Lepisosteus oculatus: one gene and its partners. The protein of the gene in region 1 interacts with the protein of each later gene in a biochemical or structural test. Links are inferred from orthologs where the notes say so. Each region holds a gene or a part of one and is shown in the gene's direction. Other genes may lie near its edges. The genes, in order: dlg1a, mitogen-activated protein kinase 12-like, kcnj2a and pbk.

Region 1 (8,178 bases):
GCACATTCACACGGGCTGCTGGGACTGTTAAAGGTGCCTCTGAGAGATCAGACAATAGCTTCCTTATCTCACTCACGGCGTCCGGTCTGCAGCTGGGCTGCTGTTGGCGTCATCCTTCTTCCTGTCCTTCATCACCAATGTCTCCCTCATGGCTATCGCTGCTGCGCGCCCGCAGGTCTTTGAAGAGTCTTCAGAGCTGTGGTGCCGAACCTCCTGTCCCGAGTGACTGAAATCCACTGGAAGTGCGACATGGAAGGAGTGCAGGGGGAATCTGGGACCCGTGATTCCTTCGCGCCTCCGTGCGTTCCGAAACCGAACAGCCAACACTGATGAGTCACCCTGCTTTCTGGAGAATCCCTTCCCTTCTTCCTGTTTAAAAACAGCACACCTGCAAGGTGAGGGCTGTCCTCCGCCGGCTCAGACAAACTGAAGGAAAAGGTCTGGGCACTTGGCACTAAAACTCTTGGGGTTTGCATAAACACACTTATAATATGAAGCAAGGCTGGATTTGTCTGGGACCATCTGGGCCAGTACAATGCCATAAGCCCTCAGCTGCACTGTCATTACAGTACATCAGCTGTCAGGAAGCTCCCGGGCTTGACTTGAGGTTCGAAGGAAATCCGTACTGCTGTAGTGAAAGCTCCAGCCCTCAGCTGCTGCTGGTGCCCTGACGCAGAACCAGCTCTGCTGTGGATGGACACACCTGTAGCGGTCCCCCGAGGAGCCCCATAGGAGCCCCATAGGAGCCCCATCCCTGCACCACGACCGCCGGGAGCTCAGGGTACACTGTGAGAACACAGACGTGAAAGAGAGTTTGCCCATCTGGAGGAGGAAGGGTTGGAGGTTTGTTTCAAAATGACAGCACAGACCGTTAGGGTTCATCTTGTGAAGCAGACCCAGCAGATCACAACCCTCCCCACGGTGTGTCGGTTTCGTTTAGTCCCACCGATCTGCCAGGAGCTTCTCCGAAACATTTCAAAGTTCATTGCCTTTCAAATTCATTGACCGAATGTCAGCCTCTACTGGTTGATCTTTTCTTGTACTTACCTGCAGCCCCTCAGGGACTGGCAAACGGGAGATTTCAGTTATCGGTCACACCTTAATATCAAGGACAAAAAACAACTGACGGGTTTTTTAAATTATTGAGTTAATTATGGGTACAATTAGACCACTGGGAGTCTGATAGTTTGGCATTTTTCATTAGAGGCTGTATCGTCTGTAGAGGACGATAGTGCTTCAGGACAGATGTCTCACATCTGGCTGTTGGCAAGAGTGGGCTGATTGGAATAGATTTATCCTGCAGTTGTTTGAAATATAGAGAGTGTTTCAGTATCTCCTCTGCTTCGAGCGTGGTCCTCTTATTTCTGTTTAAAAATGTTTTGCTAATTAATTGTATCGAAAATGCATCTCTGTACAGAATAAACAGAAAGACTGATGCAATAATTTGGCAGTTTGTCTACTGTTTTTAATTCACTCATTGCAGGAACGTGAGCCGTGAACTGCTTAAAACACCGAGGACTCATGCCAGATTCTAGATTAATTGGAGTCTTTACTCTCAAGGAAGGCTAGTAATGTCTGTGTAGTCAATTTCTGTTCATTCGGTTCTGGTATTCATGAGCAAATCTGAGTTGTTGTTTTTTTAAATGTCAGTTAAAACTCGGGGAAAACAGAAATGAACAAAGCAGAAACGTACTGAAAAACAAAAAGGCAGGCTTATCACCAGGGTAAGAGAAAGGTGCCTCTTCCTCCCCCAGACGTCTCTCCGTCCTCAGCGAGGAGCACATTTGAAAATGATGAACGCTTCTTGTCGAGCTTGAATTAATCAGGCCGCTCCTACACAGAAAGGAAGAACGATATTTCTGCAGATCAAAACGCTCCCTGTGGACTCCCTGCCAATTCCAGATTCCCGGAGCTGTGCTGTGTGGCTGGTTTCCACAGGGAAGATGCCACCTGGGAGTGTCCTGGTCCCTGGTGGCCAGTGAGGGGTTTTCATCCAGGTCATTGGGAAATCAAGAGCTCAGCTTGAAAGGTGATTGAAATGGCAGAGTAACCCATTACTTCTGCTGTGTCTGGTGCACCTGAAGCCAATGAACAGGTTACAGCACAGAGTTTACACCGGTCTGCTGTGTGCACAGACAAGATGAGCCCAGCCTCCTGACTCTCACTCCACTCTGATATCCGATATCAATCGTTAGCTCTTCGTTTTGAGACGACGCTGGAGTGCACCGTATGGAATAGTACTACGGCAACGTCACGACAGCAGAGACGAAGAGCCGCGGAGAAACAGACCGCCTGCTCTCCCGCATGGCTCCCACAGTGGGCTTCTGTAGGAGAGGTGGCAGGCAGGGCCTGGTGCACACTGTTCCCCTTCGGCACTGGAGCAGAGCCCGAGGAACTCCGAGAGTGGGAAGGTCACCCGTAAAGCGTGACCCTCCGAAAGTAACAGCGTCGTGAAGCGACCTGCCCCCAGGTCTGAGAGCACGGCTGTGAAGGGCCTCCCCCCCGGCATCCGGACAAGAAAGTGCGGAATCCAAGGAGGCCAATGTTGATGAGGGAGGAGGAGAACGAGTTCTGTAGGAAAGACCTGGGATAGTGTCTTTAACAACAGTCCAGCCGCGCTCAGGACAGAAAAAAAAAACAAAGGAAACAGACACATCGTCAGCAAAAAACCGCCCAGTGGTGTACTGTAGGACAAATTCCTAAAGTGAGACACCAGCGTTGTAGTGGTCAAGCCCCCACGCTTACAGCCAGCACGAGGCCCCTCCGTTCGTGGCTGCCTGGGTGTTAGATTTAATCGGGAATCAAGAGTTACCGTGTACGAGCGTGCCGTTAATTGGCGCACCGTTTAGGCGAGCTCAGGGGCGGCACGCTGTTCTTCACTTCACTGAAGCGGTCTCGGAAGCCACACTCGGAGGGACGGGCGGGGGGTAACCTTGAGGACACGATGCAACACAACCCCCCTCCCAGAAGGAACAACAACAACAACAACAACACAAAAAACCTGCCCCCTTGTGGTGGCCCCCGCCTCCTGCAGGCGCCCGGGCTGCCCTTCCGGAACCTGCGATGACCCCCCGCCGCCGCCGCCGCTGGCTAACGGGCAGTTGAACTTCTGCCCGCCTCGTGCATTGCGTGGCGATGATGTACTGCACCCCGCACCGGGCCAGGCCCTGACCTTCTGTCCTTTCTTCTTGCGGCTTGACGCACGTCCCCGAACTTCGTATCCCCGCAGACCGAGGGGTTCGCATTCAGCGCAATCGGCTCGGTGTGGCAAGTGACTGACTGACTGACTGACAAGTGTGTCAACTCCGACGCACTATGTGCTTATTCAGCGTCCGGTTTCTCCCCGGCACCGTGCCCCTGCCTCTGGAGTCGGTTGCTTCGTTTGTGGAAATGATTTGAACGGAGGTTAAGACAATAAAGGGTAAAGGAACAAGTCATAGGTTCATTCCATGCTGAAAAAAAAAGAAGAAAGAAAACACAGCGTTTCGCCTGTGGAGCCTTCTTCGGGTGTGAAGAATCTTTTAAGGGAGGTTCCACAGTCCGAGCCGCTGTGGTTTTTCTTAGTTGTCGGCGTGGATGTAACCCCTTGTTTTGTTTAAATGAATGAAATTCGTGTAAAAAAAAAAACCCTGACTGCTGAGTATTAAAATCGCTCTGTGTATCTGCTGTGATAAGCAGCTGGCCAGTGCGCTGAACGTGGCTGATTCTCTCATTGGGGAGACCTTCACCCGGGCTCGGGCATGTGTCTTGTCACATCGGGCCCCAGAAGTAATTACTCTAAAGTCAGTGCTGGGGTCTCCAGAGCGGGAGGGGGTGCACGCATCAAGCGCGGCCGCCTCTGAGGCTCCCCGGCTGCACCGACTCAGGTGAACCAGCGTCTCGGCAGCCGGTTCCTTCGGCACGCTGACAGCACACCTGGGCACACCTGGGAGATCTCGCACGACGAGGAGCGAGATACACTCCGAATTCACCCCCGGAGCCCTGGCCGCTCCTCGCACAGGTCCACCCGAAGGCGCCTGCGATCGCCCGGCCTCACCTGGGCGCGCGTATGCCCGCCCTCCTCCTTGCAGATTATCGGAAGCTGCTCTCCGCGAACTCATTAAACACGGAGATTACAACCTTGTTGCTCTGTGCGGCGGGGGGGGGGGGGAGTTGTAGTCGGGAGGGCGAAAGAAGTAGGTTAATCTCAAGAGAAACCCCGGTTCGCGATCGCGTCGCGCAAATCTCACCCCCTCCCTCATTCCAGGGCGCTCAAGGCGGGCTGGGTTGGCCGAGACAGAAGGAACTCATTTCCTCCGCCTCCATCCCGGGGTGAACAGACGGAGATGAAGTGACAGAAGCACGCAGCACGCACAGAAAAGGGGGAAAAAAAAGCTCTTGCGATCTGGAATTTTGTTTTTCCTCCCAGATAACGTGCACGTCTCTTTCCGCGTTCTGGGTTGCGGCGCTTTGTGCTGTGTGCTCTTGACGCGTCTATCTGTTCGGGGCTCAGCTGCGGACAGGTGTCTGCTGCAGGGCATCCTCGCGTCGCGCCTTTAAGAAACTCTCGAGTCTCACCTTTCCCCTCCTACTCCCCCCCGCCGCGTGCCAAGGTAGCCCCGTGCCGGCTCTCACTCCTGATTGGCCGGGCGGGGGTAGGGAGGGCGGTCACGTGACGGTGTTTCCAGCCGCCGGCCGCCATTTTGGAGGAAAGTTTGGAATTTCGGGCACAGAAGGGGGGGAGAGAGAGAGAGAGATACTAAAAGAGGGTGGGGAGGAAGAGAGAGAGAGAACAAGACGGGGAGAAGTTCGGTTTGAGAGAGAGAAGAAGAAGAAGAAGTAGTAGTAGTAGTAGTATTGGAGCTGACAACGGATTTGCCGGATCGAGGCGGGGGAGCGAGTTCAGACAAGTACTCCCCAAGAAAAACGCCGAGCAACCCGGCGGAAGGGGGTGGATGAGTGGGAGACGGCGCGAAGGATCGGATTCAACTTTGCTTCTGTCAGACAGCGGGGCTTGGGTGTGATTTGTGGCCGGGGTGTGGAGAGGGGAGTTGCAGGTCCTCCGCCCCAGCGTTAACCCCCCGAGTGTCCGCGGACGCGAGTGCTGGGCTGGGGGAGGTACGCACCGCCTAACTCCGCTCCTGGCTGGCTGACCCGACTGCGCAGGGGGGGCTGGATTTCCCCCCCTTCTCCTTCTTTTCGCGTGGTGCCAAAGTTTCAGGAAACTCCCCGACCCAGGATTGCACGCTCCCGTGTGCCTCCCCTGCAGCTCGCCCGCTGCCCAGAGTTTGCCGTTCCGGGCGCTGAACGAGGGGACCCCCACCCGTGTCCGTGTCCGGGTCCGGCGCGGAGCTCTTCAGAAACCCGAGACGCGAGGTGCGCAGGGCTCACCGGGGCTTCATGCGAGCCCGGATAAACTCTGCTCCTGGGAAGGGCGCTCGGCTGCACCGGAGGATTGCTTTTCTTGGGAGATTTTAATTCCTGGGTTTTCGCTGGGCTCCGCTCCGCAGCGCCGGAACTGAACATGCCAGTCAGGAAGAAAGGTGAGCCTCGCATCCCTCTGGGGGTGTAGGTACCCCACACCCCCGCGTCCTGTCTCTCGAGTAATGGAGTTTGCATGGGGGCAGAGCAGTGTGCGTGTGGAAGCTGAGAAGCCCGTGTTAATGTAAAACTAAACCGCACACACACACACCACAAAACTTGCTTTACTGAAACTTGCTCCAGGATCTCTGTGCGGGTCGAGTTGGGCAGGCGAGTGCACGGGTTGCTTCTGGGGGGCTGCAGAGGGTTTCGGCAGCAACTGGGGGGGACTGAAAAAGTGAAATCGCTGCGATGGGCTGTTGTCTTTTTTTTTTAACCTGTTAGAGGGGCAGCCCGTGTGTGTGTTTGTGTGCGTACGTTGTCCGGCGAGCTAACGGAAAGTGTGGTGTCCGCGCAGATGCACAGCGAGCGCTGCAGCTGCTGGAGCAGTACCGGGAGAAGCTGAGCCAGACCGAGGACCGCCAGCTCCGCCACTCCATCGAGAGGGTCATCACCATCTTTCAGAGCAACCTCTTCCAGGCCCTCATAGGTACGGCCGTGCCAGCGCCTCTGTTCCTCTGAATGAGCTCCCCTCTTCCCTTTCTGTTGCGCCCCGGGTCCCAGAAACACGGTGACGGTGGCCTGCATGCGAGAGTCCGGCCGGTAGATTCGCAAACAGAGGCTTCGGTTGGAGCTGACTGCTGACTCGACTCCCTCTTGGGGCTGTTGTGATCCTGCAGGCTGGGACCTCTGCTCTCTGTTCATTCCCAAAATTTGGTGTCATTTTGTGTGGTGTTGCACGGCTTGCTGTTTGCAATGCTGTGCTCAGCTCCGTGGGAATTTTGTTTATTTTTTTTGCCCTGGCAGTACAGTATTAAAAGCAGTGAGTCCTGCGTAAGATGGGACAGGTCGCCGTGTTGCAGGCTGCAGGTGTGCTGCACCCCGGGCAGCCTGTTGCTGGTCCTCCAACGCGGCCAGGTGTTGCTCAGGTGTAACTTCCCAGGCAGCAGGAGGGGACGTGGTTGTGAATCACTCCTACAGCTCCACTGCATCGCGCCCCCGAGTTCCCTAGAAATACTATCGGGAATACTGGAACTTCTCTTTTCTTCAACTAGCAAGTTGTGGAGTAGAATTAAAATCGGTGGTGGAGCCAAAAACCAAGATGAGCAGCAGAACGTGTCAAGTTCTTAAGATGGCTTTAAGCATTTGTAGTCTTAAGAACACATTTGGAGTAGATGCTCTGAGGGTTAAGGCCATAGCACCCTAGTTTTCTTTGTGTCGTAAATGTAAGAAACTTCTGCAGACTAAACCGAGAAGGCCTGTAGGGAACAGCCTGTGTGACTGTCGTGCGTGACTGTCCCCAGCTCGGTGCCGTTTGCTGCCAGCGCCTGGCTCTGTGGTTTTAACCCAGGAGCGGATTCCAGTGGATTCCCGCTCGGATATTTCAGCGTTCCGGCATTCCTCTAGGATGGAGTCAGTCCTGCAGGCCTTCACACGGTGCCGTTAAGTTTCCTTCCTGATGCTCCCGCCACTCCTTTCGGTCCGTTTCCTGCAGCTGTAATTGCACGCGCCTCGGAGACGCACGCTCCCAGCGACGGACAGAGCAACCAGAAGGGGCTCCTGGCCCAAGGTTCTTAACCAGCAGGAGCCCTCCTTTCCTCTCTGCCACACAGCCAGTGAAAAACAGGGCGGTTTCTAGAGCCCGGCAGATTTCTCGTGGCTGTGTGAAGTCACGCCTCTGTTGGCCAAGGACAAGTGTTCTCCCGTTCTGCCTTCATCCACCTCTTTGGGTCAGTCAGGGAACCTTTGCCACGCTCACAGAATTAAATATTGGTGTCAGATATTCAGCTGTATTCAGACTGGCCCTCGCCAGCTTTCTTAAGTCATGTAAGGATTTAGTTAGGAATTTAATTCTCTATCCAGGGTCCTAGTGTGCACGCTAAAACTCAAGTTTCCTTTCTTAGCACTGTTAAGGAAAAGGTTTTAAGTTTAACACATGTGCGGTACTGTGTTGGCTGGGGGTTAATATTTATGTGCACAGAGAGGTATTAAAGAAGCAGCAAGTGAGGACTGGAACCAACGTTGATTATTGTATTTTTAATGCATCAAATCTTGGCACTGTAATTCATGCATCAAGTTCACTAAAAGTTCTGTTCTCTTGGGCTCTGGATGCTACGGTAAACTTTTGGCATGACAGTATTTCAAACATCTGCCGTACTGCAACGCGAGAGTGTCATGAGCACTGGACCGGAGTTGTTCATTCTTTCATTGTAGACTCAGGCTTCTTTAAAGTCTAGGCCTCCCTCTTTGCCCAGTTTCTTCTGAGAAAGGCTCTCTGCCAGTGCTTACGTTTCACTGTCTGACCTTTTGGGTGCTTTGCTTCCTGTCTGGTAGACTACAACTGTAATTTCTGAATAGCTCTTTGCTTCCAGGAGACAGAGACTGTATCAGGGCCAGCGTAACGGTTCATGAACATTTTTCTAGCCTTCTGAATTAATAATAGATGGACTGTCCCCAGTATGCATAGACACTGTTAATAAAAATGCTGCGTTATGAGGAGAAAATTAATTAAAAAATGTAACTTGCAGACAGATTTTGTGCGTGCCTTTTCACTTAAATGCATAGCTATATTTTGTCAGTCTTGAAGAATGTAGGAACAGATTTAAGGAAAACAATGCA
Region 2 (7,499 bases), on another chromosome or scaffold:
TGGACGTGCTTAAAAAACTTCTAGAAATCTGTAAATTCTTCTTAGCCCTCAGCAGGACAATGTGGAGCTGTCAAAGTTTGACATCCAAGGAAGGCTCCACAGCCAAAACATTGTTTCTTTTCTTCTCTTCCCAGTATGAAATAAACCTTTACTTGTTCCTTTACATTAAACTAGTGTTCAAATTTCGTCACATGCAGTACTTCTTACAAGCAATGGCTGCTTCAGGTCTGTAACCCATCGACGTCGTCAGGCTCCTGATACGTTCCTTTGAGACGCTTTGCCATTTTTAGTTGTTGCTCGTCTGTGTGGCTTTCTCACTTTGTGACGTGTTGAGGTTTCCTCTTCAACAAGTGAAATGCAGCTCAACAGGATTCAGATCAGGAGCCCCGTCCAAGTCAAGAGTTTCCACTCCTCCCTGCTGATCTCCGTGGTCAAGAGCGTGCTGCGTCTGGAGTCCTTGTAGTCATGTGCAGGGTGAACAGTCGTCCAATGAGATCAGAAGCAGTTTTTGGACGTGGGCAGACGAGATGTTTCTGTAGACTTCAGAACTGATTCCGATTCAGCGAGCCAGCCCTGGAGTCCTGCCCGAGCCGTGACACCACCACCACCATCATGCTTCAAAGTGAGGTGATGTGCTGAGGAGCTCACAGTTCCTCTCTTGCTCCACACTTTGATACAGGTTTATCTTCATCTCGTCTGTCCATAAAACTCTAGTTCCAGTACGGTTGTGGCTCATCTTTCTACTTCTTTGCGAATTCTGGTCTGGCCTCGCTGTTTTTAGCGGCGATGAGAGGTTTGCTTCTGGCAGTGTAGTGCGCAGTGAATTAAGATGCCTGCATCCCTGCTCTCTAGAGATTGACTTATGGGGTTTTACTTTATAGCCCTAAGGTTTCTTCTTCCTTGGATGACCTGGTCTCCGCTGATTGCTTACTCCTCTAGGAGTAATTCAAGACATTTCATACTGTTGATTTCGCAATGCCCGCTCTCTTTAGAGTGCTTGCCACATGTGTCGTGGGTGTTGGTGTTGTAGTGGTGTTCTATCTGGGATTTGTACTGTTTCTTGGCAGATTTTATGCCAGCTCTTAATTTTTTCCTAGCCCCTCTCAGTTCTTCCTCATTGCCAGATTTGAAGGCTGCATCACTGGCTTTGAGCAGGGAGCGGATCTCAGTGTTCATCCAAGGTTTTTGATTCAGGAGTTTGCGTATCTTTTTAACGCTCACCACATCATCAGCACATTTGCTGATGTAGCTAGTGGCTGCTGATGCATACATGTCAATATTGGTGTGGGATCCATGGGAGGCTGCATCTTTGAACACACTCCAGTCTGTGCACTCGAAACAGTCCCGAAGCATTGATTCTGCCTCTTTGGTCCATGTTTTTACAGTTATAACTGGAGCCTTGGTGCGTTTGAGAAGTCGTCTGTAGGCTGGGAGTAGGAACAGGGAGATGTGGTCAGATTGTCCAAGAGGGGGGTGAGGTACTGCTTTGTAAGCACCGGGTACATTAGTATAAACAAGGTCAAGTGTGTTGTTTCCCCTGGTGGGGCAGTCAACGTGTTGGTTGTAGATGGAATTTTCTGATCTCATCTTCACTGTTGCTTGAGGTGACAACTCCCTGGTCTTCATCTTGGTTTAACTCAAGGGGCAGGTCCAAAAAGTAAACCCGGAAGACTGGAACCAAGGATATACATTGACAGCTCCACTGCGTTTTAACAAGTAGAACGGAAACATCCATCAGGCATTTGTCCCAGTACTTACACTTGTCTGAGATGGGGAGTTTTAACATAATAAATGCCATTGTTCCAACATGGCTAAACCTGTATGCTAAATAATACTCTGAAACAAAATTGGAAACTCTATACTTTTGCCTCATATTAACCTCTTGATCTGAAAATCAAATTGCCATTAGCATACATTTCATTTGACTGTGCCAATAATCATGTTTTCACTGCTGGTCCAAGCCTGGCGGTGAAATTGTAAGATCTGAGACAAAGTATAGTGTTCAGTCCACCATCAAAAAGGATATTATAGCCTTAGAAAGAGTTGGCAACAAGAGGAGCAACAATAATGTGTCCTTGTGACACGGTATGGCTGTATATGGGCAGATTAAAGGAGCTGCAGTTAATCTCTTCAATCCAGAACGGATCTAAACCAAGCATACAAGATCCTAAGGGGTACAGAGTCCAGGGTACTGTTTCACACTCAATAGGGCAACAAGGAACAAGGGATTTACAGTCGGGATTCTAAAAGGGAATTAATATAGGACAGAGAGGAGGAAACACTTCTTCACACAGAGTTGTGAACAGTCAGGTGAATCAGGCCCAACTGCTGGGCTCCTCCAAAAAAGATCTGGCATTCATTTTAGATTCACTTAACCACCGAACTACCACATGAGCAAGATGGGCCGAGTGCCCTCCACCTCTCACTTGCTGTCTTTTCTTTGTGTGGATCCCAGGCGTTTTCAGACATTTCAGCCTTGTGCAACACTGTTGTAAAAAGTTGTGACTGAGGGTTATCAATACAGTACATCCTTGGTATGATGAGCTTCGCTTTAACGGACCGAAACAGTCTGTAAAATCAGAACTACTGGACTTTCCCCGTAATGACGATGAAATGCACAAATAGTTAAATATTACATGGGTTCGAGATTCAGGAATAGCAATGGTGCCCTATAGGGGTAGGTCCACTGCTTATAATGGGTTTGTGTTTTGTATGTTTTAGCAAATTTGATGCAGTATGTTTATGACACATGAAATAAAGAGTTTGTGTATTCATAAGAGGCACAGGTATATTTTTTATTGACTGTGCTTATTACAATGATAAAAAATAATTCAAAAGAGCAAGTAAACATATAGTGTATATATATAATGATGGAAAAAAACGCAACATTTTCTGGAATGAGAATACTATAGCTATAGGTTATGTACTTTCACAAAACGTTGTCAATTTGTTTTAAGCCCTCTGACCAGCAATACAGCTTGTGCAGTGAGGCATTGCAGCTTGCCAATCACACGAAAGCTCGTTAGGTGCAGTTTTACCCAGCGAGGTCCAGGTGGAACAATGCCTGATCAGGTCACCTTTAAAAAGGCCTTAATTCAAAGCTTAGGTCACTGCAAGAAAAAGGGCAGACTTAGTCAGTTTTCTGTGCATTCCATAATGGCTCGAATGTCACCAGAAGCAAGGGAGAGGGCCATTGGCATGCTGCAGGCAGGCATGTCATGTGCCAGCGTTGCCAGACACTATGGAGTGAGTCGCTCCACTGTGTCCCGACTGCAGAGAAGGTTTCAGCAGACCGGCAGGACAGATGACCATCCAAGATCCAGTCGCCCTCGAGTGACCACACCAGAGCAGGACCGACACATCAGACTGGTCCATCTGAGAGATCGTTTCAGATCTGCCACCCGTACTGCTGCTGAAAGTGCCGGCAGACCCAGTGCCCACATCAGTGACAGGACAGTGAGGCTCCATGCTGCTGGCCTAAGAGCAAGGCGGCCTGTCAGAGGCCCTCTGCTCACACAATTTCTCTCCCTGGCCAGCTGTGCGGTGTGGCTGCTGTGTGTTACCCAGGGCTGGATGATCTGGGTTCTCTCCTTTATGTAAGGTGCTTTGGGATTCCTCATGGAGAAAAGAAGGCTTTGGTGTTATCCTGGGGGAGTAATTAGTGAGGGCGCCAGAGCGATCTGTATCCACTGCTCTGCTTAAGGTGTACCCATAATCTATGTTCTTGTACAGTTAGTAACTACACAAGTTTACAGATAAGTTAAAAAAAAAACAGGTGGATCAGTAAACCCTGTAGAGGTCAAAAAAGAAAATGCGAAAGCTTTAGTTTTGAAATCCTGTAACTTGGAAAAGGCCTGGCTGGTGGGGTTATGGTTGTAATATAGGCGAGAGCAGCGCGTTGCCCAATGTACACGACGCCAAGACATCAAACTCTACAAATAAAATGAGAGAAGCGAAGTTTGAAGTCTGTGTTGTTGATACTTCCTTTTCATCTTGCGCAATGCGGAGGAGCACAAAAAAGGCAACTAAACAACGTTAGGATTTATAGTAAAAGGTTAAGTGGTGTCTTAGGTGGCTGGAGGTAAGGAGTCAGATAACGCAAGGAGGAAGCAGGTTTCTGGTTTAAAGTCCGTGGATGCGCTAATTGATTCAGGTGGGTTGTGGCCTTTGGAACTGAATAGCTTGTACTACATACCAAGAGCTTGAGGATGATGTGTGTACTAGCCTCGTTTCAGTACTTTCAAGGCGTGTGCGTGTGAGGAATGTTTCTCATTCCGGCTCCAGGGTGAGTTCCCGTCAGACGGTGCGGATCACACCTGCCCTCTTACCGGGGGCGAGGGAAAAAGAAACACGAGTCTGTTTGGGGCAACAGACCTGTGCGCCGCGGAGGCGCAGAGCCGAGCGCGCAATACAGGAAGAGCGTCTCTGAGAGGAGGGGATCGTGGAGACGGGAGGGCGACCAGATAGACAAACACACACACGCACACGCACACGCCGCACTCGCTGACTGAGTGACGGGGGAAGAGAGAGAGGGGCGCTGCGCTCCGGAGGCTGCGAGCGACAGAGAGAGAGAGAGAGCGCATCGGAGGGACCGGCGTGCGGTCAAGCTCGGCTTCTTCACCGGTCGGAGAATGACGACCCGGACCAGACCCGGATACTACCGGCAGGACGTGAACAAGACGGTGTGGGAAGTGCCCGAGCGGTACCGGGAGCTGAAGCCCGTGGGCACGGGGGCGTACGGCACTGTGTGGTGAGGCTCGCCTGGGGTTCATAGAAACACATCTGTCGCCAGTTTGTCCCGCGGGGCGGCCGCCCACGGAGTTTGTGGAGTTGTCTCGCCGGTTTCGGGGACGCGCAGACACAGGAGAAGGAGGGCGCCGAGTCTGAATTAGCAAGGGAACAATAGAAAGCCCGAGCCGGTCTATTTGCTCAGCCCGCAATGTATATTTGCGTTCTTACTTCCTCCTTTCGCTCTCTCTCATCTCTCCGGCAGCCTCTCGGCTGCCTCCCCTGCCTAGCAGCTCACATCTGAGCGAAGCGACCGTGCAGGTCCGGGTGTTTCAGACGCCCGCACCGAGCCACGAAAGCACGGTCTATTTCAGCCTCTCCGTGTCTGTGCAGAGCACAGGCAGAAGTTTGTACAGTCGTGCCCGAGTGGACGGTGGAAAACCAGTTGTCTTCCGGGTTAGGAAATGAACGCTAGCTGCCGAGTGTCCGTCTGGCACTCCCCTGCTCCTCTCTGTCAGGACTTGCAAGCGGAGGAGGAGGTGTGGTTAATAACTTGGCCCGGTGGAGGCAGGGTGTCCTTAAACGTCTCCCTTTCGGCTCAGTGGAAGGGAGGGTAAAAAAAACACGAGTGCACTTTTACAAGCCCCCGAGCGTCGTTCACCCACCACGCGGAGCTATAAAAGCACTCGGAAGTAGGACAAGACCACAAGGGGCTGCGAAATTTCCTGAAGCAACCCGTTTTCAAACTGCGGCGTCGCAGCAATGCGCTCGACGATCTGATCGGTCAAACACCGCCGGTTCCCGGCAACGCCAGGCCGGTGACGTCACCCGCCCTGCCCGCAGGAAAGGTCATTCACACATCGCTTATCTGTCGCACCTTCGCTCAGGTTGGGAGAATCAACAGGTGTGAATCAACTACTTTCTGGGGGTCAAAAGTAGTTAACAAGGAGTTCTTGTGAAGTTCCTACTGGTAAGAACAAGAGTGCGGTATCCCCACCATACATAACCAGATAGTATAGGTTCATTAGAGCTCTGTAAGTTTTACGAGTTTTAATAACATTTTCGAGGCCTTCGTTGGTGTTCTGTTTCCAGAGCGTTAAGTCTGCGTGCCCTCAGCTGCTTAAAACAATAATTATAATAATAATAATTGCTTACACTTATATAGCGCTTTTCTGGACACTCCACTCAAAGCGCTTTACAGGTAATGGGGGCTCCCCTCCACCACCACCAGTGTGCAGCCCCACCTGGATGATGTGACGGCAGCCATAGTGCTCCAGTACACTCCCCACACATCAGTTATTAATGGGGGTGGAGAGCAGAGTGATGAAGCCAGTTCAGAGAGGGGGATTAATGGGGCTGTGTTATTAATCTCTGACCTGTTATTAATCCCTGGCTCACTCGGCGCGGAGTAGTTGCCAAAGCACAGTGTTTCGGCCGTGGAGCCGCCCCCGGGCTCCGCGTCTGGAAGGAGGTGTTCCTTCTCCTTCCCGCTTGTCCGCGCCAACGGCCGTGCGCTGCTCCTCCGCCGCCGGCGCGCGCCGAGACAGCGGTTCCTGGCCCGGATACCTCCGCTGCCCTGCACTGTGGGTGTCTCACGGGCCTGTTCTCGCCCTCCCGCGGGCCGCCGGGTGTGTGACGGTCCCTCTGCGGCTCTGCCCCTTGCAGCTCGGCCGGGGACCGGCGGACCGGGACGCGCGTGGCCATCAAGAAGCTGTACCGGCCCTTCCAGTCCGAGCTCTTCGCCAAGCGGGCCTACAGGGAGCTGAAGCTGCTCAAGCACATGAAGCACGACAACGTGAGTACGGCTCTCTCCGAGCCTCCCGTTTTCATCCACCTCAGGGCTGCAAGGGGGCCGGAGCCTATCCCAGCAAGCAGTGGGCACAAGGCAGGGTACTCCCAGCCCATCGCAGGACACGCACAGCCCAAACACGCTCTCACACCAGGGCCAGTTGTCCCAGAAGCCACTTAACCTACTAGTATATTTTTGTCCACACGGACAGCACCCCAGGTATTGAACCAGGAGCCCGGTACTGTGAGGCAGAAATACTTACCCACGGCAGTAGCACCATGCCACCCATGGAGAAATATAGTCTTCCCTATGAACTGGCAAGGAGAGGGAAGATCTCATTGGTGACCCTGCTTGCTCTGTGCTCCTGTCCTGTGTTTTTCCTCCACTCTCTTCAGCCATGCCTTTGGAAGAACTCACTGCTTGATTAGCCAGTCCTGGAGAGCTGTGGGTAATGAAAAGTGGGTGGTGACTGGAAGGGTCTCTTCACCCTAGCCAGTGGGTAGGGGGGCAGGTGTGATGTGGTGTTACTCCCCGTGCTGAGCGGGACAGTGACTCTTCTCTCTGTCTCCCCACAGGTGATTGGCCTGCTGGATGTGTTCACTCCAGACATCTCTCTGGACAGATTCCAGGACTTGTGAGTGTCCCCAGGTTCCCACAGTGAGATTTGTCCACGGGTCTTCAGGCCGTTGGAAAGCTTACAGATCTTTCTTGAAAGAAAACAGGGTGTTGGTTTCAACAACGTGGCTGTGTAGATTGTTCCATACTCCCACAACTCTTTGCATAAAGAAGTGTCTCCTGTTCTGCAGTGTGTACTCCCCAAGGATTTCGGGCACTTGGTTGAGTTCTCACTGTAGTAACCTCTTTTTTTTTTTATGGGGAGGCCCCACCTGTACTCGGTATTCGAAACTAGATTTTCCTGCGCATTGTGAAATTTTAACCCAGCGTCTCTTGATTTAAGTTCTGTGCTTTTTAACCCCATACG
Region 3 (8,112 bases), on another chromosome or scaffold:
GAGCACACTGCTGGCCTGAGAAGCAAGGACACGTGTTCCAACAGAGGAAAATTACTTTACTATAAACCAGGTAATAATAATAATAACTGCTTACACTTATATAGCACTTTTCCTGGACACTCCACTCAAAGCACTTTACAGGTAATGGGGACTCCCACCAATGTGCAGCCCCACCTGGATGATCCGACGGCAGCCATAGTGCGCCAGAACGCTCACCGCACACCAGCTCTCAGTGGGGAGGAAAGCAAAGTAATGAAGCCAATTCAAAGATGGGGATTATGAGGAGGCCATGATTGGTAAGGGCCAATGGGAAATTTGGCCAGGATGCCGGGGTTACACCCCTACTCTTTTCGAGAGTTGCCCTGGGATTTTTAATGACCACAGACCACAGGACCTCATCCGAAGAACAGCGCCTGTTTACAGTATAGTGTCCCCATCACTGTACTGGGGCATTAGGACCCACATGGACCCACTGGCCCCACTAACACCTCTTCCAGCAGCAACCTTGGTTTTCCCCAGGAGGTCTCCCATCCAGGTACTGACCAGGCTCACACCTGCTGAGCTTCAGTGGGTTGCCAGGTGTGAGTTGCAGGGTGATATGGCTGCTGGGTAAGGTAGAAAACGTCATGGATGTCAACAATACAAGCTATGCTGGAATTCTCACCATGCTCTAGGTATAGTAGATACTGAGGGAATTGATCTCAACAGAAGTAAGAAATGGCTTACTTCACATTGTAACAGTTGGAAAAGCTAGATTTTTCAGTTAATCTTTTTTTATTTACAAAACAGAAAAAATGTCAGAGGAAATCGTGCCCATCTAATCAATTTCCCTTACCTTGGAAAATAAGATTATGGGTCCTACTGCAGTCTGTATTAACTTATTTGATTGTTTCCTCTACTTTTAAAAAATCTGATTTGCACAGACGTCGTGACGTTTAAATTGACCTTTGATTATAATTAACTAATGGAATTAAAGCCTACTTTATTTTTGTACACTTTTTGGATTACATATTTAGAGCATATTTCTCTACAGAAAAGCAAGCTCATTTTTCTTTTAGCTTAACTCCTCCTGGAGCCAAACTAAACCTTCTAACACCTGCAAGCTCTCAGTGTACTTAGCTTTATGGAAAACATTTAACACCGAGTATCATTCAGGTGTCATAATTAATTTCTGGGGAATTAGGTTATACGACCTGTTCTTTATCCAAGCAATGTTGTTCAAAGCACACTCATACAGTATGTAAAGGACTTTGTATCCATGGTTAGAGTATCAGAGAATACGTTATTTACTGCAATAAAGTGATAATTAACCACTAGCGTTTTGCAAGCTAAGTATTGCTTGTGAGACGCTAATATTTTACTCCCATTCAATGTTCAAATGCAATGCTTACTAGTCTTAAACCCGTCCCGTAAGCAATGGCCACACGCACTGAGCTCTGACACGAAGTGTCTAAGACAACGGGAAAATTTATCTTCTGTATTTTCGAAACATTGCGTTTCTGCTCTCTGTTCGATGACTAGTATCTAAAAACGGGGAAACGTAACGTTGTATTTTATTAGGTAAGAATCTCCAGTTCTCCACCTTGTGGCAGAATGAAGTACCAACTTTGTTCCCAGTAACTTTTAATCGCCCATGAAAACTAAACACAGACACCGAAAGCCAACTCACGCAGCATGCCCGAGCTAAAATTACTCCCCGTTATTTATAGCAGAAGCAAAAAGGTAATAAAAACAATCACTTCTGTACAAGTACGGGGGCAGTTCGTGGCACAGTGATAATGATCAGTGTGCGTGTCATGATATCAGATTCAACAAACGCCTGAAGAATTCGCGATACTAAAAAGATAACGAATAAAAAAAAACTGTTTATTTTCTAATGAGGACGACGTTGCGAAATGAACGACATGTTTTTAAGCTCTAACAGCAAGCAACAGGTTCCTCCAGTCCAAAGCAGGCAGCTGTGGAAATGGTTTCAGTTTCGACGGCCTAGGCTAGGTTCAACACTTTCTACGCACTCCAGAGAGAAACTGTATATCCAAAGTACAGAGTATGTAGCACAAGCTGGGGAGATGTTTCACAAAGCTGTTTCTGCTTAAAACTATCACATACGTGTGCGTGATGTGTGCGTTTTGTACAATGTCACCGCGGCAGTTTATTGTAGCAAACGTTCATTTTTAAATATTCATAGTCATGCCAAACGCCCGACAAAGGAAACCAGAATAAAACACAACAAACTGGTGCCCTGTCTCACTGTAGGCTATCAAATATCAATACTATTACAGCTCAAACATCCATCTATTATCCAAAGTTGATTCGACCAATGCACGTCCAACCAAAGAGAGGGGGAGCCTAACCAGGCAGACACTGGGAGTCACCGCGGGTCACCAGTCCATCACAGGGTGCACACGCAGACACACACAGGGGCAATATGGAGACCCCACGTAACCCAGTCAGCATGTGCTTTTTTTAAGTGTGAGATAACACACAGGAATATGAGGAGAGCATTCAAACGTCTTGCCCAGAGTCTAACCCAGGATGTGCATGGTGAGTCAGAGATCTAAGCTCCATGCTCCTGATGCTTCAACCCTTTCAACACTCCATTAAGAGCCATTTGGTTGCTCTTCAGTCTTGAGCATCCTTTGATTGACATTAAAGAAAACGCACATGGACACAAATAAAAACCCTGGCAAGCTCTGTGTAATGAGAAGCACCATTGAAGGCAATTTCTATATTCTTACAGTCTCTAAGACTGTGCTGGACATACATCAATGAAATGATTTTTTTTAAAATCAAGATCAAAACTATTTTGGAGATCAGAGAAACATGCTTGTTAAAGGAACACACCATTACAGTGCATATGAGCTACCGCAGACCAAATCTAGGTCTTTTGTTCAGTAAATGAAACTGAGAGAGGTTATTGACATATCTCTTTACTCCGTGATAATACAGTTGAGACACAAGCGCGTTACCCTGAGCATTCAGCTTTTATATACTGTATGTGAAGACTGGATTCACATCAGCAGAACAGTAGCCTATTGAAGGGGCTCACGGAGTGCAGGTTAACAGCAATGAGTTAATGTGGAACTAAACTGAACGCGAGAGAAGCAGCCAAATTGCATCACCATTGGCTAATAATAACAACACCATGAGGCCCTGAGATGAGTAGGATGAAAGCAAAACGCGTGCAGTCCTACAGTATGTACGCATCATTTCGTGATGATGACCCAAAAGCGTGACTTGCCGCAGATGGATCTGCAGCATTCCGGGCGCAGCTGTCAGCACAGATAGAACTTTTTGAGCGTTGGTCTTTGGATCTGCAGGTTACTGAAATTAAATAGTGCAGAAAACGAAAGCGGCACGCTAACCATCTTTTTTAATTAAAACGCGAACTTTCTCATTGTCGTGAATAAAAACAAACGCGGACATTTACAATTTAAGATCGTCCGGGAAGAACATCCTTAATAGTAACTACTCATATACTGTAGGTTCCTATATGCAGCTGGTAACGTTACCATGTTCGTGATTAGTGGAATGAGTGGTTAAAAACAAATGCTATTCAGACATAGAAACAAAACATTTCTTGACAGTCACACGCAATAGGGATCTTATTATTATTTTACTGTAGCCTGTAACTGAAAACTACCGCCTACAGGTCGGCGTCAGACTTCTGATTGATTCAAAGATATTTTAAATGCTGTTTATTGACACGTACGAGGTCTAGAAATATTACTAGCAAAGGTTTATGTTCCTGTTTCCCGTTAAAGAAGAAAACGTTTTGTTCTAGACAAAGCTAACAACTCAAGTTTGTTTCCTTTTCATGCAGTCTACGGGATTTTAAAGTTCGCCGATTTAGTGCCCAGAAGAAAGTGAAAACATATACACTAGGAAATATATATCATTTATATAATAACTTGTGGCAGCTGTTTTGTTGATCGGATGCAGTTGTGGGAACCGAGATTCGGTTTCACAGTACTACGTAATGTTGTCATTTTGCATTATGGTTTCCGCAAAAAAAGACGTAAAAGATACGCCACAGAAATCTAACAACTTGGCTTTAACAGTTCCGTCACGTTTTACCTCCTGTTTTCAAAGATAAAGTAAACTCTCAGAATGTGCAATTAACATTACTGGACACCACCAGTACGGAACCACCCACAGTAAAGCGAATATATTCTGTCGCCTCTTCAGACCGCAGTAGATAGAAATGCAAGCATGCAAACATACTGATATTATTTATAATGAACTGCTCCTTGTTCATCACAGAGAGCAGCAGTAAATCAAACCTGGTAGCAAGCGCTACTTAACTGCAAATCAAACTTTGCCTGTTTCGCTGTTAAACCAGAATATGGCAACTACTGAACTCCGTTTAACGAGAAATAAGCCATTTAAGGATCTCATTCATTGAGAGCAACCGTAGCAGTAACTCATTTCCCAGGGTGTCAGCAGCCGACCTACTCCAGACACCTTGCTCAGACAGCAGCACTTCTTCGTGCAAGGAGGCTTTCAAGATATTTAGTTCAAGTAATCACTTTCAATATCTTTCCATTAGTAACAATACTGGACAGAAGTTTACAAGCGGTCGACAACTCACGCCTGCCCTTCTGCAAGTCGATTGGCTACGAGGGAGATGGGCGGGGGGAACCGGTACACGCTATTTAAAATGCATGGTGGAAACTGTAGGCTTGCCAGATTACCACTCTCAGTCATCGCGGTAGCGAATGGGGCATTGGTTTTGACAGTAATTTTTTTTTAAAAAAAACTATACATATATGAAATTATATAAGGGCAACCTAATGTTGGATACTCGAGAGCAATAAACACCGGGGATCTATTCTATATCTGTTTACAGCGGGGTAACCAGTTTCCCTTCGGAGATCAACAGGTAAGAACTTCTCATTTGTGTTTCTGGTGGCCGGGAAGGCTCCGCATGCTGTTCAGTTACATTTACCAGCAAGATTATTTCCTAAAAAACAAGAATGCTTTTAAAAGCGGTAGTTCTGGAAGACTACGTAGTTCCCGTAAATGCTTAGCTGTCAAACTCAGAAAGATTCTCTGAAGGGCTCTCGCAGACCTAGGACCTAGTTGTACTGTAACTTTTCATTTGTGTGCTATCGTATGCATTACAGATTCATATACGTTACAGATGTCATTAATATTCCTAGATACACAGTAGCTGACATAGGCTAGTACTGTCTTGTATGAAAATATGGCGTTAGAATGAATATTGGCATGCAAACTTAAGTTGAAGTCTTAGCAGTCTGTAAAATAATCAACTATCTGGTATCCATTTTGCAACAAAGCTCGTCCCCCAGAGTGTGAAATCCACGACTACCAAAACAATTTCAGGTTTCAACGTGTATAATGTTATAGGTATACTGAAATCACATATATTTTTTTTTTCAAATATTACTCAAAAAGTCATGGTTATTGCGTTTAAAGAACTAGTTAGCAACCTTCTTGTCGTTCGCTTCAAATTAAACCACAGGGTGATTGAGAGAACTGTCTTTTCCTTCGGGTTTTCTACAAACGTGTTAACATGTTGTAACATCTGTGGAAGTAGTTCTGGGGTGTATGGATAAACTCAAACTGACACTTGTAACACCAATCATAGCTCAGGTTGCATCACTCTGCGCTTTAGTCTGGAACTGCGCTCCTGGTGTTCCAAGTACCCGCTGAGATGAACGGACAAACCCGTGTTTGAACTAGGCTGTAATTTTTTGATCTTACTGAGTGTTGTCCCCCAGAGTGAATCACCCCTTCTTTGACTATTTGCTCCCTGAAACTGAACAAACGCCTGCCCGAGGGTATCGTCTTATTGGTGCTGCACCTGTTACTTTTTCTGCGTGCAAGCTTGTTGCTTAGGATTCAATTGCAGTGATAAATGGGATCCTCACTTCCTATATAGGTAAACATCATCATTGTGTCTCTAGCATGCTAACTGCACAAAGATATACAGAGCCTAAACCAAGAAGACCAACGTATAACAACGTAAAGAGCAATACCGAAGGGCTTCACCAGGTAATCTGGGGTGCCCAGTTGTTTCTGAAACTTTTGAAAAGTACTTTTTTTTCTCCATTTCTGCATCCAGTGAAGTATTTTTCCACTCCGTGTTGCAAATGTTGAGCTCAAAGCCAGCAAGAGCCCATCAGGTTATGTAGCCAAATCATACGATATTACGTGCTCGTTTGCTTCTTTTTAAGAGCACGACACTACGTTGGCTCACACACTTGAACACGCGCGTCTGGCAGAAAAATATACGTGATGACAATACACCATGTCTGCAAGCCAGTGTACAGTATGTGCATTTGTCACAGTTTGTCATTATCAGCACTATCAGAGCGTCACCCACGCTGCCCTCCACCCCGTGTTCTCCATCTGTTTCTCTCCAGACGCCGAATTAGTCAAAGCAAGCAAGTAACTGATGAAGTACAACATTGCAGTTCAAAGAAAAAGGTCTTTAATTCAAACAAAATCCACATTTGCAATTGCTGAATGCATTGATACCCTGCCCACCATTACCTGTTCACCTGCCCCAGCTTGTTGTAGGGTTAAGCAAGTACAGTATAGTGGTATTGAATTTCCGTTAGAAATAAATCGATCTTTTAGTGTATAAAAATAGAGTGAGGTTTATGCAACATTTTCCATTTGCCTCCTCCCTGCCATGCATACAGTATGTGGTCACAAACAAATGCATGCGCCATAGAAGTCACTCCATGTCTATCACATTGCATGTTCATCACAGAGTCAGAGAAACAGTTAAAACACTTCTCTTTTGTTTAATCAAGTGGTATTACATGAAAGTCGAACCAGTCACATGTGTGGTAGTGCTGTATTAAGCGATACCCTGCATCACTATAAATGACAGTGCAGAAAAAAAAAGTTTCTGTTCAAGAGGATGCTCCGTACTTCTTTCCCCTCTGGAGCCTTTCTGTATGACATGTCATGTTTCATTAATCTCCAAGTCTGCAGGATTTTGACAGGATGCATGTCGCTGGTGGCTAATGTACAAGCAAGGAAGGTCATCAGGTGACACTCAAGCTGCTGTTTAATAGCCTACACTCAGCTTGTGAAATAATATAGAGGTGATGCATGTATGTTGGTGATTTGGAGCACTAACTCCACTGTGTTCAGTAGCCCGTTAAGTACCATGCTGTCTTTTTGTGTGTTTCTGTCATGCTCCACTATTTGTTTGTTTACTTTATACAAAAACATAACTGTTCTGGAATCAGAGCAGCCAGATATTCTGGAGTCTAAGAGAAAGTCCTGCCATCTATGTAATTACCTTACTGAAACTGACACGCTGGCTGCTTTCAAGAAACAGTTGGATAAGATCCTCATATCAATTAGCTGTGAACATCCAATCGGGCTGAACAGACCAAATGGCATCATCTTGTTTGCAATCTCTCTTATGTTTCTACATTCAAATACCCCTGATGTGTGGCCGTAAGATTCAAGCCTTACCTCCTCAGCTCTCAGAGACTGGCATTAACAACCCACTAACACAGTACTTGCCTGAATAAGACAGTTACAGATGCCTTACACCAGCTTGGATTTTCAAACTATCCAGAAATCATTCTACGGCAGCTTTCAAAGTTTAAATAAAACTTTCATCAAGTTGCAATTTTTGAAAAGCGCTCATAAATATAATTAGTTATTTTAGATCATTTGAATTAAAGAAGTGTTAATGCCAAAGTTATCCACTGGTTACACAGAGAGATGCAATTTGTTCTTATTTTGCCAGTTTCTCAAGAAAACATCTGTTTAGATATATTCTGTATGTGTATTATAGTCCACAAATAATTGAAGAAAAAAGCAATGAAGAATGTCACCTTAATGTGCAATGTGCAAGAAATAGTAAATTCTAGATTATTAAGAAAGCAAAGTTGTTCTCTTGTATCTCAATAGCTACTGTATATATCAATTTAACAGAACACTTTATGCCCTTCACTGCTACATGTCCTTTGTTGTTAAAAGGCAGCAAAGGATATGGTGTTAGTGCTGCAGAGCTTTTTAATGAGTGGAGATCGAGTTCTCACCGAGAGGTCCCATAGGACAGTGATGAGCAGAGATCCCTGAAGGTTTGCTGTGAATCAACAAGCTTTGCGGTTCCCA
Region 4 (7,894 bases), on another chromosome or scaffold:
TGGATAGCATGAGAGTCCTCATCAGACACAGTTGAAGATATAATATTTGCATTGCACCAGCTTTAAACTCTCTAAATGACCGAATTGGAAAATAAACCATGAGAGTCAATTCATCTTATTACACCACAAAGAAAGTGCTGGTTTTGTAAATCAACACAAATGTTTTAGTCGCATTCTCAAATTTTCCATAACTTTTCAAACATTTCGCCACCTTCATTCTTTTACATAATGACCACATTATAAGGACCCTGTGATTGATATACAGTATGTGAGTTTCATCTTCTTCTTTACCCTCTCCCTGTGTTTGTGTTGTCAGCCTAACATATAGAAAGTGAAGGCACTTACTCTTTGTGCTGTACTATACAGTATGTGCAACATACTTTTTAAATACGCACGCATATTTCACAGTAAGAGTGTTATGTATGCCCTTCCTAAATGCTCATTTTCACAACCTGAAAAAATGCAAATAGCACAACAAAATCAGATCACAAAATCTGAGTTTCATTAAATATCAGAACAAGTCATGAGTTAAACAAACATAAGTTAAAAAAGTATGGTTTCTGAATTGCACCGTTATGTTTTTGACTGTGGTGTTTTACTAATGTACTCAGATAATTGTTAGTGACTAACTTGTGCCTGTTTGGGAAAATGAAATAAGAAATGTTGATCCATAGGGAGTTTGTTGGGGATTGTCTGAAAAGTGCAGAGGGGGATTTCCAGAAATCAGCATAATGTGAGCTGCTTGTTAGAGATAACCAGCCGGTACTGTGCAGACATATTGATCAAAACTGTCTGAATAAATGCCTGAGTTGTCATGTTATCCTCCTGGAGAGAGAATCCACTAGATGCCAGAGACTCTGGGGCTTCCAGATAAGGTTGATATTAATGTCAAAGCTGGTACTTTAGGTGTATAGCTGCTATCTTGTTGAGCAATATAGTTATACTGTATACACTAGTTGAGCAAACTGGCCAGGGAATCACTGTGATCAGATCCTGACAAAAGGCAGCAATAGCACAGACTATACATCTGTATAGGTCTATTCCACTGTTCTGCTCTTTTCATTCAATAATTTTCTTTTTAGGTACTGTAGGAAATAATTTAATCAATATTGTTTTACTGTAAGTTGACTATTATTATTATTATTATTATTATTATTATTATTATTATTATTATTATTATTATTATTATTATTATTCCTGACAACAGTTGACAAGTGAATGGAGAAGCCACCCACCATTACTGTGAAGATCTCAGGTTTTTTTTACATCAGCCCACCAGTGAAATTTCTCTCTTTCACTATTTCACTATATAGCTTCAGGGAATTTGATGTCAACCACAGTTTGATGCCATGTGGACAAGAATAAGTGACGGAGGCAAAATATCAGAGTGGGAAGATGTTTTACGATAAATCTGAGCATCATCTGCATAACAATGAAACTGAAGACAAATAATAAAATGCAATGATCCCAACACTAAACCCTGTATGAATGGATGGAAATAAAAAACTGAAATTCTTCTTTACAAAGCTGTTCAAGCTCTATCAAGTTTTTCTTGCACTGATGGACAGCAGTCTTCAAATCATGCCAGTGCAGGGTTGGCTGTGTGCTTTAAGTCATGTTGACAGATGAACATCTATCCCAGTTTCAGCTATTTTGCCGGAGGCAACAGGTTTTCCTCAAGGACTTTTCTGTAGTTTGCTCAATTTGTTTTCCCATTTTTCCTGACAAGTTTCACAGACCCTACCGATAAGAAATGCCCCCATAACATGATGCTCCTACCACCATGCTTCACAGTAGGGATGGTGCTCATGGGTTGGATGTTGTGTTGGGTTAGTGCAAAATGTCCCACTTTGATTTACAAATAAAAATAAAAGTCCTATTTTATTTAATAAAACCCAAAACTTTTTTACCACATGGCTAAGTAAGTTAAATGGGATTCAAGGTGAGTTTTTCTGAGTGATGGCTTCCTTCTTGCCAACCTGACATTTAGGCCAAAATTGTGGAGATGTTGGGATATTGTTGTCACATACACACTTTGTTCACTTTGAGCCACAGTCTTGAGCATAAAGGACTGTAGCTCTTTGAAAGTTGTCTTTGGCCTATAGGTATCCTCTAATCATCCTCCTCGTTTCTTGACCTTCCAGCTGAAATTACAATTGGAAGCTTGTCACAAAATGTCTCTTATTGCATATGAAGTCTAGGAGACAAATCTGGTTATGTACAGTGTTTCATTCCTGCAGTTACTTTCAGGTGTGGTTCAGACAGCACAGTCACATCAATAGTTGGTTGACAAGCTGTCAGGATTTCAGAGATCATCCCAACTGTGTGTGCTAGAACTTTTAAATCAGTTCACCACAGGTGGTCGTAGTCATCATGTGTATGGTCACCTTGTGTGACAGATTATGATTCATTGGTAGATATCTCTGGTTCTGTCAAAAGATATATGACAGATGATCTCTAGCCAGGATTCATGGCGGTGCGGTGGCTCTGTAGCTAAGGGTCTGCACCCGTGGCTGGAAGGGTGCCGGTTTGTATCCCACGGCTGGCAGATAAATCTTACTCTGTTGTGCCCCTGAGCAAGGCCCTTAACCCCAACTGCTCCAGGGGTGCTGTATAAATGGCTGACCCTGTGCTCTGACCCCAAGCTTCTCTCCCTGTCTGTGTGTCTCATGGAGACCAAGTTGGGGTATGCAAAAATACAAATTCCTAATACAAGAAATTGTATGGCCAATAAAGTGATCTTATCTCAGATATACAGATATACATACCTCTTGAAACTGACCTGTATGTGTCACAATGTTCATGGCCTACTTAAAAAATAATGAGAATTTATGAAAAATACATTGTTTACATTTCTCATCCACACTATAAACTACACAGCATGTTACCTTATCTTTTGGTATGCAAAGTGGCCTGCCTTTTCTCAACTATTTTGTTTGGGCCTTCACCAGCATCCTCAGTCGCTTTTACTGATCCCTTCTAGGAAAAACGGAGAGGACTCTTTCCTGTTCTTTTTTCATCACACATCAAACTCTCTTTCACTATCTTCTCACAAACTCTTTTACTCTAGGCAATGGGGTATTTATTCTGATTCTCTGACACCCAGATATCTTTCTCTTATACTGTTTCATCACTAGGCTTAGACGTACTCTGCCTTAACCAGTGCTCTTTCTTTTCACAAACATTTTTTCAACACTAAACTCAAATCTTCTCTCTGCCACTTTTAAAATTTTCCACACTCTTGGTGTTTCTTTACCTCTCACTCTTCTCTTCGCTACTCTTCTCCTGACTGATCCTGTTTTCTTATATCCTCTAGAATCTGGCATCTCTGACAGTAGCAGCTGGTCTGTCTGCAGTTCTTAGGACACGAGGTTGTACTTGTGACTGAACTTCTTTTGTCCAAACTGCTTCTCTTTTGACTGTGATAAGAAGCTACATTGCTGCCTTGCCAGGTAGTATCCCACTCCTCTAGAAACCAATACCGGCAGGTCAGAGCTTGAGTCCCACACGCCTATTAGCCAGTCTAATCCATTTCATGCTAGAAACCCTAGCATTGGCCTCTCTTTTTCAGCTTGCGCTGGGCAAATGCTATCTTCTGCAATACAAAACATTTTCTTACTACGACGTATAAGGTACCTGACTTGTGGCTTCTGACTTCAAGACAATGATACACTGTAATATTCTTTGAAACCCGGAGTTTGTAATTTGCTTTAGCAATGGTAATTGAGGAAAAAGAATATTGGTTGAGTGCAATTAATCCTGTGTTTTTATTCTTGTAGTCGAGTTGAAGGTAGTTACATGCAATGACAATTACTGTTGTACTCATAAAACAGTAACTACTTTTGCCCACCAGTTAAGAATTACTGCGCAAGTGTTCAGAAATGGTAGAAAATCATGTTAAAATATTTTGATACCTAGACGAGTGCTGCCCTCTTTTGGTGAAAATGACTATTATTACTTAGATGTGAGGAAGAACAAGCTTTTATAAATCTATATAGACATTTTAGACAAAAGACCTCTTTTAACTCCTGTAAAAAGCGCCCTGAACCTGACTTTATTACATATTGTTTTTTAGTGTTGAGTGTTTCCTGCACCGTCTACTTTTGGAAAATCCGGTCTAAATTTGTTGCTATTCTTTAATCACTCTAAACTTCTTTGCACAATAAAAACACTTCTTTTTTTTCTCGTTGTACACTGCCTGTGAACATTTTGCATTTTTTTATTGCTTCACAATGGTTACGCAAGATAAAGATTACGTAAAGAAGTTTTGGACAAAAGATATTTTGAGGAAATTTGATTTAGGTACATTATCAAAAGTCGTAAAACAGCATTGAGCATCTGGATAAGCCTCAAAAGCGCAAAAATATGTTTTTATTTTTCTAGCATGGAACTTTTTTTGCTAATCTGTGCCTCTCACGTTAATTCCGCTCTAAACTTGGACTTTTACACTAAATTTGAAACGTTTAAGAGCAACCTTTTTTATTTTTTCCAAGGGAAATATATATTTTTTCTGTTTGAAAAATCAATCATTGTCTATCTTGGATTTTTATCATACAATGGACTCTCCGGGGTCAAATCTGAAGTTTCTTACGTACTGCTGCAGTATCATCCTCAGTTTGTCTTTTGCGTGTCTTACTTTATAGATGTCATTCTTTTTGACTCAGATTTTTCATGTTTATTAGCACATTAGTGGATTGCAGGAGTGTCATTAGCAGTTCGTACCTCACTCTGTTTTAGGACTGGAAACCTGAAATGACTTCCTTCGCACTGCTCCAACTGCCAGAGAATCATTCTCTTATTTTTGGAATAGACTGCAGGAAGAAGACACACAACAAACCGAAATTGAAAAAAGCAAACCGTCGAGTGAAAAGTGAAACAATTTCATTTTCACATCAAGCCACGCTGTGTTTGTCCTTGTTCAGCCGCCGTTTGGTGCCCATGTGATACAAACTAAAGATTTGAAAGTAGGCGCGCCAGAATATTTTGTAGACAAAGGAAGATCTTGGTAAGTGGGATTGACTTGTGTTTTTATATAAATACGTGAAAGGAGCAACATAATAGCATTCAAACCTGTAATAATATAAAGTAATGACAAATATTTCTGTTGTGAAGAAAACAGTTATTTTTGCTATCGTATCCAATGTGATTGAAGTTCTTTATTAGCTTGCGTTTTTATAAACGAAACTGTATGGATCACTTTATTCACTTGTACTTTTCTGAATCGAGACAAAAAATAAACTTACTTTCAACAGATTTCAATTAACAATTCTAACAATAACAAGCCCGAACGATGTAAGACTCGGCTATAAAATCGGCTCTGTGCAGTAACTGCATTGATCTTTCACTGTGTTTTCTGCGAATGTGACGAAACTGAATGTGTATAATAAATTTCCGTAATCTTTCTGTTTTCCAGTCCATTGGAGAATGTTATTGTGAACAACAAGTTTTTTTTGACTGAATCAAAATTCAGTACAAAGATTACCCTCCTGTTAAATACAAGTAAGGCCAGCCCCGAAATCGAAACTTTCTATTTGGCGGTTAGATTGTGACAGTATAATGTGTAATTATAGTGTAATTTTTCCAAAAAGTACAAATATTTTCTTGTTTTATCCCCAGCGGCACTGTAATTCCAAACGGCATGGAGGCGGCAAACACATTTGTGACCCCTGGCAAAAAAAAGTTTATGCCTGGTAGGTATGATTCAATATTTTGACAAATTCCAGGAGCAACTGCATCAGTGGTTTTAAATGTGTATTACATTTTACGTAATGAAGAGACGTCCAACAGATGCTATTGTTTTTCTGAATCCTTTAGGGGTTTACATCAACAGCACGACCTTGTTTTGTTTAGTTTTTTTTGGATCAAATGTCTTTACTGGCAGCATACTAGGTGCCTACCAAGCTACTGGAAAGAATATACTAGTAAAAATGCCATCCCCATGTATTTTGCTGCTTGTTACGTTTATTTGCTTACAGTACATATAAAAAAAAAACAATTAGAGACAGGGCTACCATTAGTTCTTTTACAAGACTAGACCTAACTCAGCTGTAACCTAGATCAATACACAAACACACAAAAGAGCAATGAAGTGATAAGCATGCACAAAAGTAAATTAGTCCCTCCAATCACATATATAACAAAGACCCAACTCTGCTAATGGAAATTGTAGCAACTGGTAAATATATTTGTATACAAAAGGTCTTTGGATTAGCTGATGGCAAACAGGAACAACAGAAAAAAAAGTTCAGTTTAGTAGAGTTGTGATACATTTCAGTGCATCTATTTCATTCTATAATTTAAAAAATAAAGGAAATGTAATTGACAAGCTGAAATTGACCCAAACAGTGTAATCATTAAATCATTAAGACTAAAAAGGGGATATTTTTAGGTATCTTTTAAATGCAGACATTTTGGCATTACTTAATCACTGTTCTCTGTGCTTTGTTTCTTCTCAGGATATGTAACTATTACCCAGATGTGAAGAACTTAGGTTCTGTGACCTGAGACTTCTCTAGTGAATTCTCTAGTGAATTTCATCACCCTTATTACTAATTAATTGCCCTTATTACTTCAAAAAGAAAATAATGCTGTAAGGTAGATATTTGTTACATAAAGTACAGGAGGAAGAAAGGCAGAATGACTTTTTTTGTTGTTGTTGTTGTTGTTGTTGTTGTTGTTGTTGTTGTTGTTGTTGTTGTTGTTTGGTTTTCTTTTTGGAACAGATGGATCCCCTAGGGCTAGAAATATAACAATCCCTGCATCTCCTTTCATGAAAAAACTTGGATGTGGAACTGGGGTGAATGTATATCTTATGAAAAGGTTTGTAGATGTGTGCAATGAGGTGAAATGAATAGGTACTGTAGTTCCCATTTACAGATGGTGTTGAAACTTCAATTTATTAATGTGAAGCTCTGCTAGATAGGATTTCAGATTATGTTCCCCTTGCAGAGGGACTAGGTCAGAGGGACCTTGTTAGAAATAAAATTGTATTAAGGTATCAACAGGTATAGCAGATGTTTATTTTAGTGCTAAACAACAAGAGAACTGTTGTTAGTTTATTATTATTAGGGTTTTCTGTTATTAGTCTATAAGTAAAATGTCAATTTCAACTGAATTTGATACTTTTTTGAGTGATCTCCACATGATTACAAAACATTAAGACCTTCAACACTGCAGTTGTGTTTTTTAAGCCATGTATATGTTGCATACTGTTTAACATTTATCTGCAGATCTTGTTTAATTACTGGCTAAACAAAAGCACACAGATAAAAATGAACTGGATGTTAACTAAAGGAAGAAATACAATTTAAACATGTTTGGAAACAAGGTGTTAAAATGTGTCATCTCCTTCCAATGACAAGTTTAAACTATCAGTTGTTCATTCAAGACAAGGTAAAGAGCAACTCAATGTTGTAGTTTTCATTAAGAAATAAAGTTAAAAATGGTGCCTTGATCAAAAAATGAACATCTCAAGCAGAAGTAATAGGGATACTTGTTTTTGCATTGTTCTTATTTCAGAACAGGTAGCCAGACTCAGTCTCCATGGGCAGTCAAGAAGATCAATAGCCACTGTGCAAAAACCCAGCAGAATGTCTACAGCAAGCGGCTGACTGCTGAGGCACAGATTCTAAAAACATTACAGCATCCCAACATAGTTGGTAAGCACCCGAGAAATGTCCTCACTATGTCAGTGCAGAACTGACAATTCAGCCTTTCCTCTTTTTTATGCTTAAAATCTACGTATTTCAATACTAAAATGCAAGTGTAATTTTTCAAACCTTTCTATTTCAAAATGCCAGCAGTCTCATTACCTATGTAGTTCTCGAGTTAAATCAGTCAAAATTCCAGTTGTCTATTTGAATGATAAACATTGCACTGACTACTTTTTATAAAT

What was found.
Region 2: the proteins of dlg1a (region 1) and mitogen-activated protein kinase 12-like interact in a test that uses a peptide from one of them, tested with the Homo sapiens proteins (2 studies listed by IntAct, with this or other methods). The link is inferred for Lepisosteus oculatus from reciprocal best matches to the Homo sapiens genes DLG1 and MAPK12.
Region 3: the proteins of dlg1a (region 1) and kcnj2a form a complex in vitro, tested with the Homo sapiens proteins (2 studies listed by BioGRID and IntAct, with this or other methods). The link is inferred for Lepisosteus oculatus from reciprocal best matches to the Homo sapiens genes DLG1 and KCNJ2.
Region 4: the proteins of dlg1a (region 1) and pbk form a complex in vitro, tested with the Homo sapiens proteins (2 studies listed by BioGRID and IntAct, with this or other methods). The link is inferred for Lepisosteus oculatus from reciprocal best matches to the Homo sapiens genes DLG1 and PBK.

The regions. Positions count from the first base shown.
Region 1 is NC_090708.1:2,033,033-2,041,210, forward strand, and holds the start of dlg1a (disks large homolog 1), read left to right. Parts: upstream 1-4,731; 5' UTR 4,732-5,503; coding exon 5,504-5,522; intron 5,523-5,917; coding exon 5,918-6,049; intron 6,050-8,178. UniProt on the Homo sapiens protein: Essential multidomain scaffolding protein required for normal development. Recruits channels, receptors and signaling molecules to discrete plasma membrane domains in polarized cells.
Region 2 is NC_090702.1:48,040,742-48,048,240, forward strand, and holds the start of mitogen-activated protein kinase 12-like, read left to right. Parts: upstream 1-4,210; 5' UTR 4,211-4,631; coding exon 4,632-4,750; intron 4,751-6,393; coding exon 6,394-6,523; intron 6,524-7,092; coding exon 7,093-7,151; intron 7,152-7,499. UniProt on the Homo sapiens protein: Serine/threonine kinase which acts as an essential component of the MAP kinase signal transduction pathway.
Region 3 is NC_090704.1:42,979,756-42,987,867, reverse strand, and holds the start of kcnj2a (inward rectifier potassium channel 2a), read left to right. Parts: upstream 1-4,703; 5' UTR 4,704-4,882; intron 4,883-8,112.
Region 4 is NC_090697.1:56,986,040-56,993,933, reverse strand, and holds the start of pbk (lymphokine-activated killer T-cell-originated protein kinase homolog), read left to right. Parts: upstream 1-4,310; 5' UTR 4,311-5,005; intron 5,006-5,413; 5' UTR 5,414-5,499; intron 5,500-5,616; 5' UTR 5,617-5,638; coding exon 5,639-5,690; intron 5,691-6,722; coding exon 6,723-6,819; intron 6,820-7,518; coding exon 7,519-7,658; intron 7,659-7,894. UniProt on the Homo sapiens protein: Phosphorylates MAP kinase p38. Seems to be active only in mitosis. May also play a role in the activation of lymphoid cells.